Linked DNA regions of Arabidopsis thaliana. The protein of the gene in region 3 interacts with the protein of the main gene of each other region in a pairwise test. Each region holds a gene or a part of one and is shown on either strand. Other genes may lie near its edges.

The links. The genes of interacting proteins can lie anywhere in the genome.
Region 1: the proteins of AT1G14020 (region 3) and AT5G15500 interact in a protein complementation assay, tested with the Arabidopsis thaliana proteins (one large-scale study listed by BioGRID).
Region 2: the proteins of AT1G14020 (region 3) and AtVEX1 interact in a protein complementation assay, tested with the Arabidopsis thaliana proteins (one large-scale study listed by BioGRID).

The regions. Positions count from the first base shown.
Region 1 is NC_003076.8:5,029,937-5,037,482, forward strand, and holds AT5G15500 (Ankyrin repeat family protein), read right to left. Parts: upstream 3,605-7,546; 5' UTR 3,508-3,604; coding exon 3,192-3,507; exon of another isoform or gene 2,913-3,191; coding exon 1,855-2,912; 3' UTR 1,712-1,854; downstream 1-1,711. Other genes in the region: AT5G15510 (TPX2 (targeting protein for Xklp2) protein family), read left to right, coding at 4,184-5,028, 5,111-5,156, 5,269-5,361, 5,457-5,576, 5,697-5,795, 6,094-6,153, 6,240-6,334, 6,451-6,652; AT5G15520 (Ribosomal protein S19e family protein), read right to left, coding at 7,306-7,378, 7,473-7,546.
Region 2 is NC_003076.8:25,228,227-25,235,725, reverse strand, and holds AtVEX1 (Nodulin MtN3 family protein), read left to right. Parts: upstream 1-3,881; 5' UTR 3,882-4,198; coding exon 4,199-4,241; intron 4,242-4,334; coding exon 4,335-4,371; intron 4,372-4,441; coding exon 4,442-4,658; intron 4,659-4,880; coding exon 4,881-5,042; intron 5,043-5,058; exon of another isoform or gene 5,059-5,158; intron 5,159-5,172; coding exon 5,173-5,292; coding exon of another isoform or gene 5,293-5,355; exon of another isoform or gene 5,356-5,378; coding exon 5,379-5,522; 3' UTR 5,523-5,788; downstream 5,789-7,499. Other genes in the region: AT5G62865 (uncharacterized protein), read right to left, coding at 1,159-1,662; AT5G62860 (F-box associated ubiquitination effector family protein), read right to left, coding at 2,185-2,685, 2,939-3,094; AT5G62840 (Phosphoglycerate mutase family protein), read left to right, coding at 6,054-6,283, 6,582-6,827, 6,933-7,014, 7,095-7,430. UniProt on the Arabidopsis thaliana protein: Mediates both low-affinity uptake and efflux of sugar across the plasma membrane. May play roles in nurturing the male gametophyte.
Region 3 is NC_003070.9:4,799,412-4,805,875, reverse strand, and holds AT1G14020 (O-fucosyltransferase family protein), read right to left. Parts: upstream 3,157-6,464; 5' UTR 2,947-3,156; coding exon 2,688-2,946; intron 2,608-2,687; coding exon 2,540-2,607; intron 2,455-2,539; coding exon 2,366-2,454; intron 2,274-2,365; coding exon 2,111-2,273; intron 2,004-2,110; coding exon 1,714-2,003; intron 1,625-1,713; coding exon 1,420-1,624; intron 1,313-1,419; coding exon 1,155-1,312; intron 1,033-1,154; coding exon 765-1,032; 3' UTR 501-764; downstream 1-500. Other genes in the region: LSMT-L (Rubisco methyltransferase family protein), read left to right, coding at 1-87, 168-383; AT1G14010 (emp24/gp25L/p24 family/GOLD family protein), read left to right, coding at 4,086-4,292, 4,378-4,587, 5,174-5,250, 5,347-5,491; VIK (VH1-interacting kinase), read right to left, coding at 5,833-5,959, 6,031-6,146, 6,248-6,333, 6,437-6,464. UniProt on the Arabidopsis thaliana protein: Glycosyltransferase involved in the formation of rhamnogalacturonan I (RG-I) oligosaccharides in the seed coat mucilage, which is a specialized cell wall with abundant RG-I. Transfers the rhamnose residue from UDP-beta-L-rhamnose to RG-I oligosaccharides.

The sequences.
Region 1 (7,546 bases), on a different chromosome or scaffold from region 3:
ACAGAAGAAGGTTAATAAACACACAAACATTCAAAAACCAAATCTATATGAAAATTAAACCAACCAAAGTAGATCCAAATCGAAACAGGAGATAAAGCCCGAGATCGGATCGCGATTAAACACAAAACTGGATCGTGACACGGATTAAGAAAGAGAGAAGCTAGAATTTGATGATACCTTAAGGTGCGAGCTAGGTAGGCTCTGGTTCTAGCACTGATCGAAGAAAATGGAGGTGAAATCGCTAAATCTGACGATGGAGAAGAATAGCGGGGTGAGTATGGAGTTTATATAGGTCATGAGATTCCTAAATTGCCCTTGAAACCGTCAAAGATATTAAAGTGTTTTTGGTTACTTATTTATTATTATTGCTTAATTAAATTAAACAAAACACTTTCAGTTAAAAATTAAATGATGTACAGGTAGAAAAAACGATGGGCTCAAAATATTTGGCAGGTTTTTGTTTAAAAGTCTTAGTATTTATTAGTATTGCTTAATTAAATTTAACAAAACACTATCAGTTAAAAATTGAATGACATAGGTAGAAAAAACGATGGGCTCACAATATTTGGCAGGTTTTTGTAAAAAGTCTTCAAGACACGTTAAACATTTGACATATTTCCATTGATTGGATTTCGACCAACTTAAATACACTTTATCGTATTTGCCAAAAAAACATGAAAAATGTTTGTATCAGTCAACAAAATAAACTGTAAATTATATATAAATATATATTTCTTTTATGGATTGTTACTATTTTGTATATTAAAACATATTCAAATTTTATATTGGAAACTAAATAAATTCATTTATTGCCTGTCTATTGTTTACTTTCATTGAAGAAAATATAACTGACTTACCAATCTCCACAATATAAAAAAAGGAAGTACCTTTTTAATTGTTTTTTTGGACAATTTGTATCTCTTTAGCGTTTTTTCCCCAACCTTTACACTTAATCACTTATATTATGGATTCATATTTTTCTGACTTTTTCCACTTATTAAATTTTCTCTTGAGGTAATTGATGCTTCAAAACAAAAATAGCTATGTATATATTATTTGTTCACCTACTAAACAATATTATATATATATATAGACATATTTCTTACCAGCAAAATATATTATTTAATTTGAGAAATATTAACAAGGAATATACATTATTGGTTTGAATCCTTTTCTGTGCGTCAATGTCCATTCATAGTAATAATATACTTCCCAAAGTTTGGTGTTTAGTTTCAATAATGTACATGTTAATCTATTATTATAAAACCATTTTGTATATATGAGTACTTAAGTGATTGTGTGGTGAGGTCTGCAGGACAAACTTCAGACAAAAGACTAACTGCACTTTGCTTAAAAACTCAGTCACACTTTTTGAAGTGCTTCTCAAGCTATATTTGCATAATTATATAAATAACTAATAAAAAGAAGAGTGCGGTTGAAATTTTAATATTAAAGCTATATATAGTTTTAGAAAAATATAAATCGAAACCAAATATATTGAAAAAGAATTCAAATATAACATGGTTCAATATTTTTTTGATTCGTATACAAGTTTGCCATGTTACTTTAACTGTGACCATAAAACCTCAAAATCATGATTTTTGTAGATTCAGTAATTATTTTACTAATTTACATTCGAATTAGAATGCGTCATACGACACCTTCCACTTTCTAGCAACGTATACTCTTGTCAATCATGTAGTCTTTTTATGCACATCATATCACGTAGAGTAAATATTAGAAGCAAATAATAAACAGATATTTCATGTAAATAGGTTTACCCCGAGTAGAGATTTTACACATTATAGAATAAAAATACAAAAGCAACAATAAAATAACAAGAGGAAATTAAGATTACCTAATCACATACCGATTAGGCGCAACACCTCTAGCTTGATCCAACGTAGTGAAACCTTCCCAAACCAATCCACTCTTGGGTCCACGTTGCTTGGTTCTCTTAGACTGCACCCATTCCCAAAACCAAACTACCAATCCCCAAATTATAAGAACCACGATCGCACCCACACCTGCGATCGTGTACGCTCTTGCGTTCGGCTTGATCACATCCCCTGCAACAGAGTAAGCCAAGACCATAGGAACGAACAGAGGGTAATACCAAAACATACTCTCTTGTCCTAAACTCAACAAACGTATCATCATCTCAATCGCAAAGCAGAACCCCGCACTGTTCCACAACCATAACCAGATAAAGTAGACCTCGTCCATAACCACTGAACCCGCTTTCGGACCGCTTGTTCCACTCTTTTGACCACCGCCATCAGACACGCCTCCGGGAGGTTGGAGAACCGTCTGATATGTAGCTGTGACGATGAGAGTTGCGACCACTAAAAGAGCGTTTCTTCTCTCTTCAGAGATCCAAGAATAAAACCGAATCTTCTTCGTCCGTCTCGATTCTCTCCAAGAAAGCTGCGACGCGAGTATATCCGATGTTGTCTTAATCTTGACAAGAGAAACCGAACGTTTTCCACCATGTCTCTTAACCATTCTCTCTATCTCTCTGTTATTGTGTAACACAGCAATGTCGAACACGGTTAAACCGTTCTTGTTCTCAATGTTGACGTTAATCTTGGAGCTCTCTAACAACAATTTCATAGCTTGACGATTGATCTCGTACGCCGCGAGATGTAAAGGCGTGTTACCGTCTTTGTCTCTTCGGTTTATGACTCTTGTCTCGATCCACTCTGCATCTTTTTGACACAATCTTAAGATCCATCCCATGAGAACTTTAAGAACGCTTAATCCTTCTCTTTGGTCGTAGTTATTCACGGCGATGTGAAGAGCGTTTTCTCCGTTCACATTTGCGTCCACAATGCTTTCGGGACAACCCAAGAAGAATTCTGACATCAGATCAATCTTCTTTCTACTTACCGCAACTAGCAATGGCGTCATACCTTTTTTGGACAAGAAAAATGAATTAAACACTCCTGGTATAACCAATCTAGTTCATGATCTGACCATACAATATCGACATAATGACTAGTCAAAAGCAACAATAGACTGAATTCAAACTAGTATTCAATGGACTGTTCGTCCTACTTCAATACTATCTCCAAGATTTGAATTTACTAGATACATATTATAACATTAGTTCGGATTGATTAGAGCTAAAGCTTTTGGAAAAAACTAAGAAACATAATTAAGGGTTCAACAAAATAAGTGAGTGTACGTACCATGTCTCCCTTTAATACGAACAAGACTTGGATCAACCTTAACTACTTCAAGTACTAACCAGAAGTGACCGTGTTCCACGGCGAGGTGTAACGGTGTAAGTCCGTCGGCGTTAAGTTTCCGAGCAAAAGATGGTTTCAAGTTCATCATTTCCATGGCAAACTCTGTTTTTCCATTGACGGCTGCCACATGGAGAGGAGTATTAACGAAGGGCACGTGGTCGGTTTTATCAAGAACGTATGGATCTTCATGGATTAGTTCGTATAGTAGATCGATGTTTCCAGATTTAGCAGCAGCTTCTAATGATCTTTGGTCCATTAGTGACTCAAGAGAACAGAACGACGATGCGAATTATATTTTTGGTGATTAAATATGATGATGAAACTTAATTGGCTACGAAATGATAACTCGTTTGTGAATGAAGGAAGTTCCCAAAAAAAGGAAAAGAGTGGGAAATTATAGGTGACGTGGCAGTATACGTGGACACGTCAGTATCTGATCATTTAATCCAACGGTTGATATTAGATAAATAAGAATTATTGTCTGAAAATTTGATGTGACATGGAGTACAACGTGGATCATATCGGCTCCAGCATCTATTTGATCTAATGGCTAAGATTGTACAAAATAACTCGCTGCTAAAGTGTTGAAATTCGGATGTGACGTGGCATTAAACGTGGATTAAAATCATCATAATCATTAATTTGACAATCTAACGGACAAGATTAGGAAAATAATTATTTATTACTAATCTAAGTTTATTTATTAAAAAAGCACCAAAAAGACTAGCCGTTATTAGAGAGCGTCCAAAGAGCGCCGCAACGGTCACATTTTTCCCCCAAATCTATCTTCTTATTCGATTTACAATACTCCATAGCAAGAACAAACCCTAATTCTTCACCTCCGATCAATTTTTTTTTTGTTGGAGAGATTCTCAAATCTAGATCGATTACTGTTCGTGTTACTCTCTTGATTCCAGATTCTGTTATCTTCGATGGAGTCGTTGACATTGAAGAATGGGAAAGCAGGGACTCCGGTGAAGGATCGGAGCAAGTTTCAGTCCAATCAAAAGATTTCCAGATCATCGGAGAATGCAAACCCTAACATTTCACAAGCGAGTCCTTCTAAATCACCGCTCATGAAATCTGCGAAGAAATCAGCGCAGAAGAATCCGAGTCCGAGCCCTAAACCTACCCAGGCGGTTTTCTCTCCCCGGAATCGGATCAGAGAGAGGAAGTTTGTTGTGGTGGCGAAGAAGAATTCGAGGAAAGGGAAGAAGGAGCCAGCGATTACAGAATCCAAGGCAGCTGAGATAGATTGTAAATGCGGAGAGAGGAAGAAGGGGAACATGAAGTGTGTTTGTGTTGCATATGAAACTCTGCGTGCTTCGCAAGAGGAGTTCTTCAAAAATCGAATTGAATCAGAGGAGGATAAGGAAGCTTTGGAGGAATGCTGTAATCTCGGAAATGGCGATGAACTAGAAGGAAAAGAATCTGGAGAACCGGAGAAAACAGGCGTTTCCACAATGAAGAGATCAAGAGCTAAGGTGGTGGAAGAAGCACGGCAAAGTGTGCCTGTATCTGGTAAAGTGATGAATCTTGTAGAAGCATTTGAGAAACTCACTTGCTTTAGTAATTCAAAGACTGCCAACAAGATAGAAGAGAATCAAACCGAAGAGGATACGAAGAAACCTGTGAAATTGGAATTCTTGGAGGGTGAGAAAGAGAAAAACCCATGGAGTTCTTCGTTTTGTCCATCTGAAATGGTCTTAACAGCTAAGAATCTGGGTTTAGACCCCAATGCTTCGATTTCTTCGTCCTGGGACAGCACCCGTGGCAGGTTAGTTTGTTGTTGACTAAGAGATCTCACTGAAATTATGAACTTGTCTTGTTCTGAATAGTTTGATATTGTGATGTTTCAGTGTTTTGAGTGGAAGTTCAAATGCTGGCAGGAGAAGTAGAAGAAATGTAAGTGTCCTGCATGCAGCATCTGAATTTTCTTAGCTGTTTAATGGTTGTCTGTCTTGCTTAGTATGTCAGTATAGTTTAATAATCATTTTGATATTTCTGTTTATGGCAGAGCATGGAGTCATCGACTACAATGGGAAGTAGAAGATCAAAGAAGAAGCAGGTTAAGGTCACTTCATTGAAGCCGTTTAAGCTTAGAACTGAGGTATGAGTTTCTTTAGATTAAAACTAAAGAAAAATTTCGAATTTTATGGTGGAAATTGAGTCATGACAGTTGGTTGGTCTTTTGTCTCTCTGCAGCAAAGAGGTAAAGTGAAAGAGGAAGAGTTAGCAAAAAAGATACACGAAATAACAATGGAGGAAGAAAAGATGAGAATCCCCATTGCTCAAGGTCTTCCATGGACAACCGATGAACCTGAGGTAAGCATGTTCTGCTTTCCTATTAACATCTCAATTGATCTTGTAAGCTCTAGTAGTAACAATAGTGAGAGATGATGTCTTGTTGACTATGAAAAGTTCTAATGTTGTTTTCTGTTTCAGTGCCTAGTGAAGCCTCATTGGAAAGACATTACAAGACCAGTCGACTTGACGCTCCACTCAGATGTCCGGGCAGTTGAACGCGCAGAATTTGATTACCAGGTAACCTTGCTAATGCAATGATTAAATCTACATTTTGTTGGGCTTGAAGTTCAAGATACCTTAAAACATAGCCGCTGACATGATTTGGCTTCAGTAACCATTTCATTCTGTCAAATCATTTAGAGTATACTTGTTTTCTTATCAGCTGGTTGTGTTAAGACTTGAGACGGAAAGGAAAATAGCTGATAGTGTCAAATAGTGTGTATTGTAGTCTGTAGCCAAGGTTGACTTGTCTATAGTAACTTTGCATTGTTCCATAAATTTCTTCATGTTAAAGTCTGAATTTTTGTTGTTCTAGGTTGCCGAGAAGATGAGCTTCATTGAGCAATACAAAATGGAAAGAGAAAGACAACAGAAGGTAAACTTTAATATGAGATGTTGTGGCCATATCCGATAATAGAGTTTTGCTTTAACTGATTTTGATAAATCCAATATTGTTTTTAGTTGGCAGAGGAAGAAGAGATAAGAAGGCTGAGGAAAGAATTGGTCCCAAAAGCACAACCAATGCCATACTTTGATCGACCATTCATTCCAAGAAGGTAAAAGACTGGTACATAAATACTATCCTCTTGAATCTTTCTTATTATGAGAGCATGATAGGTAATATAGATATTGTTTTCAAGTGAGAAATATGTTTTCAATATAGTTTTCACAGACCAACTAATAGAGTAAACTTTCTTATAACAATGAACGTCATTGCAAAAGCTGACACAGTTGCTTCTTGTTGTTTTCTTTTACCATTAAAAGGTCGAGCAAACATCCAACTGCACCACGAGATCCCAAGTTTCACATACCGCAACACAAGAAGATCAGATGCTGCAGTTCATCTTCTTGGAGTGAAACTGGCTCCTGCATGAGCGATTTCCAATATCAGTTTCTCTAGAAAGCTTCTTTTGGATTTACTACTATATCATCCTTGTTCATATTCTCATTTTCAAAACTACATTACCTTTCTGTAACCAATTAGTTGCAGTTTCATAGATTTGACAATCATTCTTGTTTCACCTTTGTAATAATAATCTGGTCTTCACCCAAGAAAATGAGAAAGATTCCATATTGTTTGCAAAATCTGGTTTGATCTGGTTCAGAAAGATATAATACTTATCCTCCAGTTTGAATTTGGATTTAACTGACTTATCTTATGATTCAATCCGTGTTCCACCTCTCATACATTTGTTTGCAGAATCCGGTGTACATTGGTTTAGTTCTGGTCAAGAAACATATGTGAGTTTTAAATCATCTTCCAATTTAAATTTGTATATGACTGACATACCAGAAGAGTTTTCATAGAGAAGAGTAAATTGTTTCTTGAGATTTCTATGAAGAAGAGTAAACTTGGGATACAAAATCACTGTAAAGAACAAAACTTTAATAGCTTCATCAAATATCAAATTAGTTCGTCAAAATGAACAGAGCAGAAGAGAGTAGAGATCTAAAATCACAAAAGCTAAAAAGATCTATAACATTCTTGAGGCTCCTCCAAAGCAAGCATAAGGAGAACAACAGCTCTTCATGATTCAGCTGCAATACGCCCAGCAACCTGATCCAAATCCCGTTGACCGCTCGAAGTGATTCTTCTCCCTCTGAGACAAAGAATGAACAAAGGAGGAGAGATGAAAGTAAGTCACTAACAAGGTCTTCCTACGAAAAGTGCCTTTAGAAAGAAATAAGAATTACCCTTTAGTGTCAAGCTCGACAATGCTCATTGTCTCCAACTGTTGGAGAATATGGCGAGCAATACCACCACTGCT
Region 2 (7,499 bases), on a different chromosome or scaffold from region 3:
CAATATATGTGTATGTGTGTACAAGTGAATCCATAACTTTTGGTCTCTAAGGAAGACATGTAACAGGAGCATATGTCGTGCTGGTGTAAGGATAGCGTCATTGAAAAGAAACAAGAACAAACGATAAATATATATTTCCACAACAGTTGATGCGCGTAAAAGCAAAACGTGATTAACAGTGGAAATTATCCATAAAGTGAAAAAGACTTGAAGATCACAAATCCGAGTTTTGGCAGTAAGAAATATGGTTATTGGATTTGAAGTTGGGTTAATATTGAAAAAGTAAAAGTTTTTTCGAATATATCATATGAACTCAACAAACAAATGCAACGGGCCCGACAACTCAATATATGGGCCACATCCGAAACGAGCCGACCCACGTAATGGAAGTCCCTTGCCAGGTCACGTGTTTTCTCCCTCTTTGTTCCTATCGGTCCCTTCTTTTATTGTTTTCTTTAATTTGCTGTTTCTTTTGGTCTTATGAATTTTGAACCATTCTTATGAATCTGAAGGTGAATCGATTCTTCGGTACAGTTTTCTCTCTAGAACATGTAAATCGTTATGTAGTTCCTTAATAAATTGAGAGAAACGAAAAAATGTATTTGAATGTTTTGATCAATGATCGTCATTCGTTTATGGCTTCCAATAGAAAGGTTTGAAGTTTGAATTGGGAAAAGTGTTGTTGGTTCATTACATACTACCCCAAACGATTGATAGTTTCTTCTCTTTACTCGGCTTTAACGGTAACTATATCTTTGGAAAACAGAAAAGTTTTTGAGTGGAATTTTAAAAATGAGTATAGATTATAAAAATAAAGAAATCATGTCAAGCAACCATGATTAACTAAATCATTACTTCCACATATGCTAAACAGCTAATTTACATAAAATTATATTATATTAGCCACAACAAGTTCAATATCCCCTCAAAAAAGAAACAAAATATTGCTTCTCTTTCAAGAAACATAAAATTTGGTTGATAAATAAATTAATTAAACTGGGAAAATAATAAAATTAATTCAAAGTTGATTATATAAACAGAATGATTAAATAAGAAAACGCGACAGACTCCAAAAACGATGTAAACCAAACCAGTCAACCATTTTGACAGCCTTTTCCCCGCCGCCAGAAACGCAAACGCGTTTCTCACACGCGCCCACTAACTTTCAATGATCTCATTACGCGGCGTCAACGCAGACAACGACGTCGGCGAAATCGCCGGAGCTTTACCTGAGTAAACCGGGACAGAAGCGAATCGGGTCGAGAAGCTTCGTAATCCACCTAGTCCGACGTATTCATCCTCCTCGTCGTCGTCATCGAAGTTCAAAGAGTAACTCAAAGGATCGTATTGAAACTTCTCGCTTGCGTCCCAATCGCGGCCGCGTCGTGGATCGCGATTGAATCGACGAATGAAAGTCTTCCACCGTGGACCAGCAACGATTTCTGACCACTCTCGGATCTTCAAGGATGCTCGGATCCACCAACGTGGCTCGTCGCCGTGGTCGCCGCTGTGATTACTGTCATCGACGGTTCGAATTCGTCCCCAGGAGGAGTAACCAACGGCGGTGGAGCTTCTTGATCGGCGGAAGCTGGGGAAACAACAGCAACGTTGATCGTACCGGGTATCAGGATCTCGGGTTGGGTCCGACTGCGAAAGTTCCATGGGCCGAAACTCAGAGAAGTTTTTTCTTGGGTCAAAAGACTCGTGATGATAATATAACTTGATTCAAGTTTTAGCTGTAAAGGATTATGATTGGTCCTATTTATTATATGCACACTTGACACTTGTAATATAAATTAAGAAATTGTTATTTTTTCTATGTTATTATATGCACACTTGACACTTTTACGAATCATGGCTGTAAATATTAAAACCTTAGAAACTCAATTATCGATCAACACGATTGAGAATCATAAAAAGTGTTAAACAATTTCTTAGGCTGGTGAAAACGAGTCTTAGAAAAAATAAATATCTTGAGCTAGAATCCGTTATAAGATAGTTACTTTCCTAACAATGTTTTTAGGAATACACTTGATAAAACAAAATTGATATTTATTATAAAAACTACTATTCACTAAGGGAACGAGTTGAACAAATGTGATCCGGCGGGTACAACAAACTAACATTTCGGATCATAGTACGAGGGGTACAAAGATTGAGCAGATGTCACTGTCTTTGGCATTATCACAATCTCACCATTAGGACTGACACCAGCGATGCAATACCTAATTTCTCAAATATCATCATCTTAGACCATTCTTGTTGCTCAATATGATCTTCCATAATCCACATCTCTGCACTAGCTTTGGTGTAACGTATGCATCCTAATTTTCCTTGGTAGTTTACCAAAGTCAATTCATCGAAACTCACTTCACTGAGCTGCTGATTCATCTGCAGAGTTATGGGCATCTGAATACGATCAAAGCTTTCGTGTCTAACGTCGAACCTCACTAGCTCATAGAATTCGGGATCATCCCAGCTTTCTACATGTGCTATGTAATAGATAAACTCTTTGATACATAAACCACTACTCCTAGCTTCTGGAGAGTGATTCCAAATGCCTTGGATGTCAAGGCTCCTCCATTGCTGCTTCATTGGACCTCCCACTAATGTGAAAACTTGTTTCTCAACTGGATCATATCCGAACAATCCATCACACGAGTTGCTCCATCTATCGTGTTTTACCTCCGGTAATAAAATCGTTTTCCTATTGGTATGTTTATAGATCGAGCTTGACCAACAACAGAAGAGTCCTCGAAAATTATTGATACTTAAAATCCCAACTTCGCCCATGGTTTAATGTATAATTACTGTCTTTGTCTGGGTATATGAATGATATATCATTAGTAGGATAAGTAGAGGGCGAGAATAATGACCGAGTCATGATCAAGAGGGTGATACGAGATGACCACAGCTTCGATACACATTGGAACCTCACAAGTGACTTAACAGGGAGTCTCGAGAGTATATCGGTTATTACATCGAAAGGGATATGTATACCGTTTGAATTTTCTCTCTCGGAGATTTCGTTCTGACGTTGTTGTCGTCGTTTTGGAGATCGTGAGGTCTTCTTCTCTTGGCGTCCTCTCTTCATGGTGTCAGTTTTCTATTTCATTAAACTTGAACGAAGAAAAACACATATATATTTTTGGTTTTTGACATTTTTTGGGGGTTTATGACATTTGTTTTTTTGGATATTTTCTATATATTGGCAATACAAAAGAGTTTATAAGCTAAGCAGCCCAGTTTCATGTCCCATTAGGTTTTAGATCTCAAGTCTTAACCGACCTACATTTAAAGGGAAAACATTAAGAAACAATGAGAGATTAATTTAGTATTTTCGATTGATGCGCCTCACACTGAAACCTGAGGCTTGTGTGTTCTGTTTCTCTTCATCTTGATTCAATTCGTTTGCAGTTTCGTAGCTTGATGAGAAAGGAATATTAAGTGATTCATATATAGCAAAGTGTTTACATAGTAAACCTAAAAAGAGAGTAAAACTAAAATCTCTTCTCTTTATTCATCAATACAAGTTGCTATTAACAAAGTTTTTGGTTACAGCACATATTCACTTGCTTTGTATTATTGTATATACTATACAAGATGCTCTACACAACATTTACTATGACATGAATATGAGACAACAAACTCTTTATACATAATGAAGATGTAGTAATAGTAAATGTAATTATGTTTGAGAAAGAGAAAGAGAGAGAGAGAGAGAGACAGAGGTATTAATGTGAGTGAAGAGCCGGGTGTTTCTCATGCATGGGGTACGAGCGGAGTCAACGGCTTCATGGCTCAAATTTGAAACCACGTGTCATGCGTTTGTTACTCTACCCAGATTCTGCTGATTCACAGACTCACTATTAAAATCCACTTTTTCTTTTTTCTCTGTTCATAAAGCAGAAACCAAAAATAATCCAAATATCAAAAAACCAAAAACAGAACCTAGAAACCACACCAAAAAAAAAAAAGCTATTTCATCAAACAAACAAAACTCACATCACAAATCAGAAACAAACAAAAAAGAAACGCAGTACTAAAGAAAAAAATTATAAACAAGAATCATCGAAAAGAAGAATCGAAATCATCAACATATTTTGTTTCTCTTCTTCTTTTATTTTTATAAAATATAAATTAGTTCTTTGATAAAATCTGTAGAAGATAAAGAATTCTTCTTTAGAAACAAAGAAAAATGACGGACCCCCACACCGCCCGGACGATCGTCGGAATCGTTGGTAAGTCCTCCACAATTTACTCAAACATAAAGTTTAATTCAATCAACAACAAAAACATTTGCTCATGTCTTTGTTTGTCTGTTATATGTTTAGGAAACGTGATTTCTTTCGGCTTGTTCTGCGCTCCAATGTAAGCACACATGATGATTAAATCTTTTTTTGTTTTGTTGCATGCAATGACATATGTGAAAATTGTGCAGACCAACGATGGTGAAGATATGGAAGATGAAATCGGTCTCCGAGTTTAAGCCAGATCCATACGTAGCTACGGTTTTAAACTGCATGATGTGGACATTTTACGGACTTCCTTTCGTCCAGCCCGACAGTCTCCTCGTCATCACCATTAATGGAACTGGTCTTTTCATGGAACTCGTTTACGTCACCATCTTCTTTGTCTTCGCTACCTCCCCTGTCCGCGTAAGCCTTTAAAACCTCTAATTTCAACACGAATGATAAAAATATGTATATGCATTCTAAATTATTCAATTTATATAAACTTTTCAGACATAGGTTTGATAGCCTTTAAACCAATTGAAAATTAGTGAATTAGTGGTTGATGTTTGTTTTAGTTTGTTACTTCAAATGTAGATCGATATAGATTTTGATATGTGAAGTTATGATATATATATATGTGTACAGAGAAAGATCACAATAGCTATGGTTATCGAGGTAATATTCATGGCGGTGGTGATCTTCTGCACAATGTATTTTTTGCATACAACAAAGCAGAGATCAATGCTTATTGGGATCTTGTGCATTGTTTTCAACGTCATCATGTATGCTGCTCCTCTCACCGTCATGGTATGATGCCTCTTCTTTCTAAACTAATCACGGAAATGCAAAAATTGGATACTACACTATCAACTTTTTTCTTTTGTTCTCTTTATCTCGTGAATTTCCATTTAATGAGTTTAGTTATAATGTGGAACAGAAACTTGTGATAAAGACAAAGAGCGTGAAATACATGCCGTTCTTCCTATCATTAGCCAACTTCATGAACGGTGTCGTTTGGGTCATTTATGCATGTCTTAAATTTGACCCTTATATTTTGGTAAACCCTCATATATATCTTTATTGTTTGGAACTCAAATCCCTACATCTCAAAAAGGACTAATTATCTTCCATGCATGAAAACAGATTCCAAATGGTCTTGGATCGCTATCAGGAATAATCCAGCTTATAATATACATAACTTACTATAAAACAACTAACTGGAACGATGACGATGAAGATAAAGAAAAGCGCTATTCGAATGCTGGAATCGAACTTGGCCAGGCTTGATAGTTTCAGCTATTTCATCGTCTACGGTGCTTCATCGATAGGTTAAGATAGAATCAGAAGTGAGGTGAAGTTCTTATTACTATTATTTTGTGTAAGCCTATGTAGAAAAAAAATGAACAAGTGGAACCCTTAAGTTATGAAGTTTCTTGTGTATGAAGAAATGGGTTTTCAGTTTTTTTTTTTGGAAATGATTGTAACTTTCGCAAGTTGAATCTATGTACGTTGTTACAATTTTAGTTTTAATCGAAGTTTATTAGATTACTTTTATAACATTTTCTTTTTTGGAAACTGTAAGGAAAGAAACAAATTTGTCCTCTTAAGAGCAGAGTAATAAACAGAGTTTCTCTCTTGTTTTAGGTTTTTTTTTTGGTCCTGACCGGTTAAGAATATTTCCGAGAAAGTTACCGGTTTAGCTGATTCGATTTTAAAAACGAACCCATAATCTAAACCGGAATGTGCGATTCACAATTGTGGTTTTGTAACCTTAAAACACGGAGGACCAGAGATACCGTTTGAGATGACGATTGAATTATGTTATCATCATCACCGGCGGTCACCACCGCCTCACACTTACATCCTCCTCCGTCGCCGGAAACCTACCAAATTCCTCTGAATTTACTTTCCTCGCCGCATATTACCCGCCGAGACCTTTTCAAAACTCTCTCCGTATGTATTGCCACACCATCACTCTCCGTCTCCATCGCCGCACCAGCTAACGCACGCGGTCTCTTTCAAATGCCGCCTCTCCGGCTCTCTAATCGGTAATTTACTTTTTCAAAACCCTAGTTTTGAGTTTCTGTGCATACAACCAGATGTGCATCAATGTATACGTATCTTCGTCCTTTTGATTGGAACTAAGTTTAAAGGATCTTGTAAAGCTTTAGTAGATTAGTGAGATTCCAAATTCTTCACATTGAACTGTTAAGAGTGAATCTCTGACTTTTAACATTTTGATTCTTGTTCTTGATTCGTTTCCGGAGTTATTTAGCCTGGTTATCTTAGAAAATGGAGCTAATAATACACAATGTGTTTTTGGTTGTTGTTTTTTCTTGGATCAAGTTATTACCTTGTGAGAGCTGGGGAATCAGATTACGAAAGCTTAGGGATAATCAACACAAACCCGGTTGCCAAAACATCGGTAGATAGCGGATTATCAGAGAAAGGTAAGAAGCAGACTCTGAGAGCTGCGTTACAGTTAAAAGCAATGGGAGCTTGTGACCGAAACTGTTGGCTCTGGCCTTCCATAACACAGAGAGCTTATCAGGCTGCTGAAATCATCGCCGCCATCAATGGAATTAGTCGCAGGTAAAATCGTCCATTAGTCTTCTTACTCTTTAGTGAGGTTTTAGCTGTGGAATCTAATCTTTGTGATGGTACGCTGAATGTTTTATGTTCACTTGGTTTTCGCAGCTATATAGTTCCGGAGTATAGCTTCCTTGATGCTCGTGGTTTAGGAGCTTACGAAGGCAAGAAGCTTGAATCTATATCAGAAGTAAGATTTTAGCATTTTTCACATTAAAACATACAAACAAAAACTCGGGTTGAAGTATGAAAGTTTCAACTTCTGTGCAGGTGTATGCATTAGACTCAATATCGATGAAGACAAAACCTCCTCCTATAAGCGACGGTACCCCCAACGAGAGTGTATCAGATGTATTTGTGCGTGTGACGCAACTCATGTCTATTCTCGAGACTCAATACTCAGAAGACACAATCGTGATTGTTTCGCCTGATTCAGACAACTTATCGGTGTTACAAGCTGGTATCCAAGGACTCGACCTTCGAAGGCACTCGGAGTTGTATTTTGGACCAGGAGAAGTAAGATTGTTGGATGCAAACAGCATTCCAGTGTATAAGCAACCTGCTTCTGCCGTATATAAGTGTAAGAAACCACCAAACTGTGACTAAAAACATTTTATCCTCAGTATCTATGTATTGTTATTATTCAAATACAATTTTGAAGCTTAGTTTTAGATT
Region 3 (6,464 bases):
AGTCGTACAAACGAGGAACTCATATGCCGTGTTGTCAGAGATGCCTGCAAATCTGCTCTGTCTGGTTTTGATACGACCATTGAAGAGGTATATATGTTCGAGCTCTTACTTGTACTGTCTTTGCAGCTTAACACTCATTTCTTACTCGTCTTCATCGTCTGTTGTAGGATGAGAAGCTTCTGGACAAAGGAAAGCTTGAGCCTAGGTTGGAAATGGCTCTCAAGATAAGGATTGGTGAGAAGAGAGTGCTTCAGCAAATCGACCAAATCTTCAAGGATAGAGAGCTTGAACTTGACATTTTAGAGTATTACCAAGAGAGAAGGCTCAAAGATCTTGGGTTGGTTGGCGAACAAGGGGATATTATCTTCTGGGAAACCAAGTGAGAATTAGCTTAGCTTGTATAGCTTATCCTGCAGAACAAACTCAAGGCTAGAAAGAAAATCTTTACTGGTTTGGTCTCAGACCACATAGACTTGAATCAACCTCAAGACATCAGAGTTGAGAGACCACAATTTGTATGTTAGGCTATTGCCAAAAGCAGGCTTTTTGAAATTCTATAAGATGAGACATAATCTTCTTTTTAGTTACATCTTAATTTACGTAAAACTAAATAAATCAAGATCAGCAACTATGCAGGAAAATTGAAAAAAATTACAAACAAAAATGGAAAAACTCAGGGAAGGAACTATGCAGCTCCCGTTCAAGTGTTTGACATGCCGTCCTCTTGCGGAAGCAATGAGATATAATATGCTAAAAACATGACTTCAATGTGTTAAATTTCTATGGCCAAACAGGTCGTGGCAATTTGTACCTTCACAAAGACATTCTTGAGGATTTGCGTAGAAGTAATCTTCCTCCTTAGGTTTGTCAGAGATTACTCTTCGATGAGTAGGTGCTCCTGCTCGTCTCTCATGGGCTTCCTTGACTGCTACTGCAAACTGATCCCACGTGAGGGTCTTGTTGTGATGTAAGTCTAGTAGCTCCACGAGTCTCTTACGGTCAAGCAGGATTGTCTTCTTATATCCAAGGTATCTGCAAATTCAAATCAGATATAGACCAATAATGGTTATATAGAATCACAGGTTTGGTTATTCTTAACACCACCTTTTTAGTTGTCATGAAATTGAATGCATTCGACACCACAAATAATTTACCTACGATGACCTTCCACGACTTTTGCCATGTTTCCATCATACGTAGGAATAAAAGTGTTGCTGGCCACAGATACCATGAAATCTAGAGCAGCCATTTGAGACGAATGGTTCTGAAACTGTTGCAGCTCTGCTGACTCCAATAGCATTTCCTTCTTTACCTATAACCACAGGTGAGTAAAACTGATAAGAAAAAGTGCATTGTAATGACGATGCAGTTGAGCATTCTTTGTAGCAAGAAAAGGGAAACCAGGACTGGTAGACTCACAATTCTCGGGAATGCTTCCCTTAACACGGATAGTCTATGCTCGCTCCCATAAATCTCACCAGCTGCAATGTATATCTGTGTATTTTTCTCAAATCCCAACGCTTTTAATACCAAGGCCACCTCCTCTGGCGTCAAAGGACACAGCCCTTGCGCCCTCCTCTCCTCTGAGACTATCTCCTTCTCTCTCCACCAGGGATATGTGTACCTAAAGAACACAGAATGGACCTATGAATTAACAACTAAAAAGACCTATAACCAGAGCACCAATTCAGGAGAAATCTTTTGAAGAGAAACCTCATCTTTTTTAGCTCTTCCGCTTCTTCCTCAGTGCAACCATGAGTGCAGCCAGAGAAAGCTAACATGTCCATCTCATATCTCAGATGCAAAGCCACAAATGGCCCTCTTTGTTGTAGAATCCGAACTAACTTAGATCCCAAAGCCTCAAGCTGTGGAGTGAACTTTAGTCCCTGAAAATTCACCCGGCACCTGAGCCACTGGAGAGAGAGCGGAAGACCATTGTTTGCCAGGCGGGTATCAGTCCTATTGAAGTGTACAACTTTATGCTTGCTGAAGAGAGGCAATACCTGAACAAGAAATTAACCAATCACATATGCAAATGGTTAGGTAATATCTTGTAACAAGGATAGTCAAAGGAACCAAAACAGCAAAACTAGTGATAAACAAGACAAACCTGCTTCAAGTAATATTTTTCATCAGACCAGCTCACAGGAGGCATTTCGAACATTTGATATCCATACTTTCTACTAAACCGTTTAGGAAGCCTCCTTAAGATCCGAACTTCATCTCTTAATGAATCAATGAAATGTCTCACATCAAAAATATCCTCAAAACCACTGCAAACAAAAATGAGGATACTTTAGATTGCTAAAAAATGTTAAGCATATAAGACACATGAGTGATTCTATAAACACCAAAGATAGAGTACCTAGGATCAGCCCAGAAAGATGTTTTGTCAAGCTCTGGAACAACGAGAGTGAGATTCAATAACCGAGCAACAGTCACCATATCACATATCTGAAACACAACATAAAAATCAGAATTTGGAAAAACATCAAATCTGAAAGAAGAAGAAAAAGAGAATTAAAGCAAAGTCACCAACCGCGGATCGCATTTGATTCAATCCACCATTACAGGATACAAGTAGAATACCATTGCTTGTATAATTCCCTGCACAAAATCAACAATCTCGTTAAACTCTCTCAAGCACCAACGAACCCTAATGTCCCCTAAATAGAGAGAAAACTGACTCGGAGGAGGTAGAGGAGGTGGCAATGGAACTGGCTCAACAGGGGCTGAGAATCTAGAAATCTGATTGGTTAAACCAGTGAAGATCCGGGAATGCCAAAGCTCACCGGCGGCGAAAAGCTGAACCAAACACGTCCAAACCAAAATGCTGGAGCAAACTCTAACGAACCATACTTGTACACGAGGCTTCGGAACTGCCGGCGGAAGCGGAAGCTTATCGCTTCGCGCCTGAGTAATATTACTCTCCGATCTAACTTCCATCTCCCTCCTCCGACGATCGTCGTCGCCGCTTCATGAGAATAAAATTACTATAACCTAAATTTCTCCGATCTTGTGAGATGTCAGAAATTGAAATTAGATGACAAACGCGAAATGAAATGCTTCTTCTCTCCTTTGTGTCAAATGGTTTGAATCTCGAGGAGTTTTTTTTTCTTTCGAAATTCAGAAGAAGAAAAAAAAATCACGAGACGGAAAAAAAAAAAAAAGAGGTGGTAACGGTGAGAGATGGGAAAATAAGTTAATTAACCGTCAAAGTGTCTTCTTCTTCTTCTATTTATTGTTTTCCCAAGAAACTCATTCTATTGCTTACACAATTTATTTCCTAATTCAGAAAGCTTCAATTTTCCTAACTTGTTTCATTATATATATCATTAAATGTCAAAGATTATTCTATAACCAAAAAAAAAAAAAAATAGGTTTCAAGGATAATGATTGATCAGAAAAACATATGATAAATAAAGATTTCAAGAATATTCAACATTGAAAAACATATAAAGAAAGATGACACATTTTGCCTTTTTGATAGTCGTTGTCATTCGTCAACGGATTCACCTAATTGTTCTCCCGTACTTTTTTTATTACTGTCATCTATTTATTGCACTAATCACGATTCAAACCACTGTTTATATTCATCTCCTTTATTCAGATATTTTCAAGCTGTTGTAAAACAAAACAAAAACTGAAACGAAATCATGACACGTACCTCAATGTTGCATTATTAACATCCCTTCCAAGGAAAGATTACTATTTTATTCTTTACTAAAAACTCGAGTACAATTGTCTTTTCAACAAAATTTCCCAATTAAGTTTAAAATTAACATTACCAAGTCATATGTAGTTATGCTTGAATTATAAAATCTGGATGTGTTATTTGTTTCTTTATTTACTTCTAACTTACTTTAGTGTGATCCACTACAAGTATATAGGTCCAACATTATTAATGGGCCTTAATTTTAAAGCCCAATTCCAGAGGGTAGTACTCCACGTGTTTTAACGAATGAAATACTAACACGTGGCAATGCACGTGTTGACTTTCTTTTGTTTCCTTCCTTCCGTTTAACAAGAAAAATAGCTAAACTTTGAAATCCGTCAGATCGATTTCTCTCTATATCGGAGCCGTCATGAATCATCGTCGGAGCTCGATCGTACTATTGATCCTCTCAATTTTATCTCCCGTGACACTCTCTATACGATACGAGCTACTTTCTGGGCACACGAAATGCATCTCAGAGGAGATTCACGCAAACGCAATGACCATCGGAAAATACAGCATTATAAACCCTCACGAGGATCATCCTCTTCCTTCTTCCCATAAAGTCACCGTCAGGGTAATAATCATCCGATCGGATCGCATTTCCCTTCAATTTCTTCTTCCGGCGATTTCAGTATAATGCAATGTGTTTGATTTTTAAGGTCACATCGCCACAAGGGACGGCTTATCACGAATCGGACGGAGTAGAATCGGGACAATTCTCGTTTGTAGCTGTGGAAACAGGGGATTACATAAGTTGCTTCTCCGCCGTCGATCACAAACCAGAGACGACGCTGATCATTGACTTTGATTGGAGGACGGGTATTCATACCAAGGATTGGTCGAATGTGGCAAAGAAGAGCCAAGTCGAAGTAAGTTTTTCGCTTTTTCTTTACTCTTGAAGTCTTAACTTAGTCAAACTAATCTCTTTAGAGGAAATAGATTTTGATGCTTCTAATGACATGAACAATAGAGCATTGCGCCGGATGTGTGAGAATTTGATAGCTGCCTAAGTTACACCAAGACATAGTGCTGGAAAGTGGAAAGTTATATCTGAAGTGAGAAATGCTATGTAGTCTTGGTTTATAGGTTATGTTGGTGCATTGGTTTGGTTAGAACAAGGCCATGAATTAAGCTGACAGGGCTCGTGTGTTACTGACCTGTGTCTGCAGTCTTGCATATGAGAAAATAGCTTCATTAGTTTCACCTTTGAACCCCATCGATTTCTTCAGCTCATTCAGGAGTTCTTTCCCTGCTAAATGAAGGTGGATAGGACTAGGCTTTAACAGACGCAGAAAATTACTATCTTGAAATGTGGTAGATAGGACTAGGCTTTAACATACTACAGAGCAAGACTAGCTTGAAATGTAACATAGCCTCTTAAAGAGATTGCAGAGTTTTTGAAGGAATGTTTTGTTAACCTTGTTATGGTTGGATCTTGTTTTATTTATTGGCCAGACGATGGAGTTTGAGGTTAAGAAGTTATTTGAAACCGTGAATGGAATCCACGATGAGATGTTCTATCTCCGCGACAGGTAATGACAACAAAACCTGTCTTCCCTTGAAGTCACTTGATCAGAGGATGAGAGTGAATCAAAACTCAAAACCCTTCTTCATTTGGTATATTACAGGGAAGAAGAAATGCACAATCTGAACATAGCGACAAATTCGAAGATGGCATGGTTGAGTTTCGTGTCGCTTGCAGTTTGTTTATCGGTCGCAGGTCTTCAGTTTTGGCACTTGAAGACTTTCTTCCAGAAAAAGAAGCTTATCTGAAAACCATTACCATCTCCTGAGGGCAGAGATTGTATTGAAAACCCTATGACTATAGCTTTATATACACTACTGAACTCATTTTTCATTTTGTTACTGAATTTTTCGGAAACAGACATTTTATCCTGTCTGATATGATATGAACTTCTCATTAACCTGCAAACTCAATCCAATCCATGTAACAACAATAAAAGCTTTCTATCTCACACTCTTTTAAAGCAAATGAAAAGATGAAAAAGAAACAATCTTTACAAAAGAAATGAAACAGAGATTAATAAGGCAAACAGAGAATGATACTTTCTTGTTTCTGGTTGTTTTTGTGCTTAAATAATGGATTTTGTGTATTATGAAGTGAATAAGCCCCAATGGTGATCTGATGGTAGAGTTTCCTTGATCTTTTCAAGTCTCTTGAGAATGTCCAGAAACGACGGTCTCTGGTTCATGTCTGCGTCCCAGCATTTCACAATTAACCTATAAAAGAGAAAATTAGTTAGATAACCGGTAGAGTAATACCGGTGCATATGGCCTCGTATTTTTCTTACTCTCTTAGATCTGGTGTGCATCCTTTGGAACGGAATGTAGGTCTATGTCCATCAGATACATGTTTGGCTGCTTCATATGGCTCATGGTTCGCAAATGGTGGCTCTCCTTCAAGCATCTGGGTACAATGTGGTAATGAAATTAAGGTTAAGATTTTCTGAACTTTGGTTTTGTTTTTTGTAGTAGAGAAAGGAAGTTTTATAGTTAAGATCTTAGTACCTCGTAAAGTATCATTGCAAAGGAGAAGACATCGACTTTCTTGTCATATCTTCTATGCTTGAATACTTCAGGAGCCATATAACGATCTGGTTTTGTTGCACGAAGAAGAGAAACAAAGAAGGTGAAGTTAAAGAAATGAAAGGAAAAGAAGGCAGAGGACCTCCGATTTTACTATAGAACAACACTTACAGCTTCCTGTTTCTCCAGTCATTTTGTA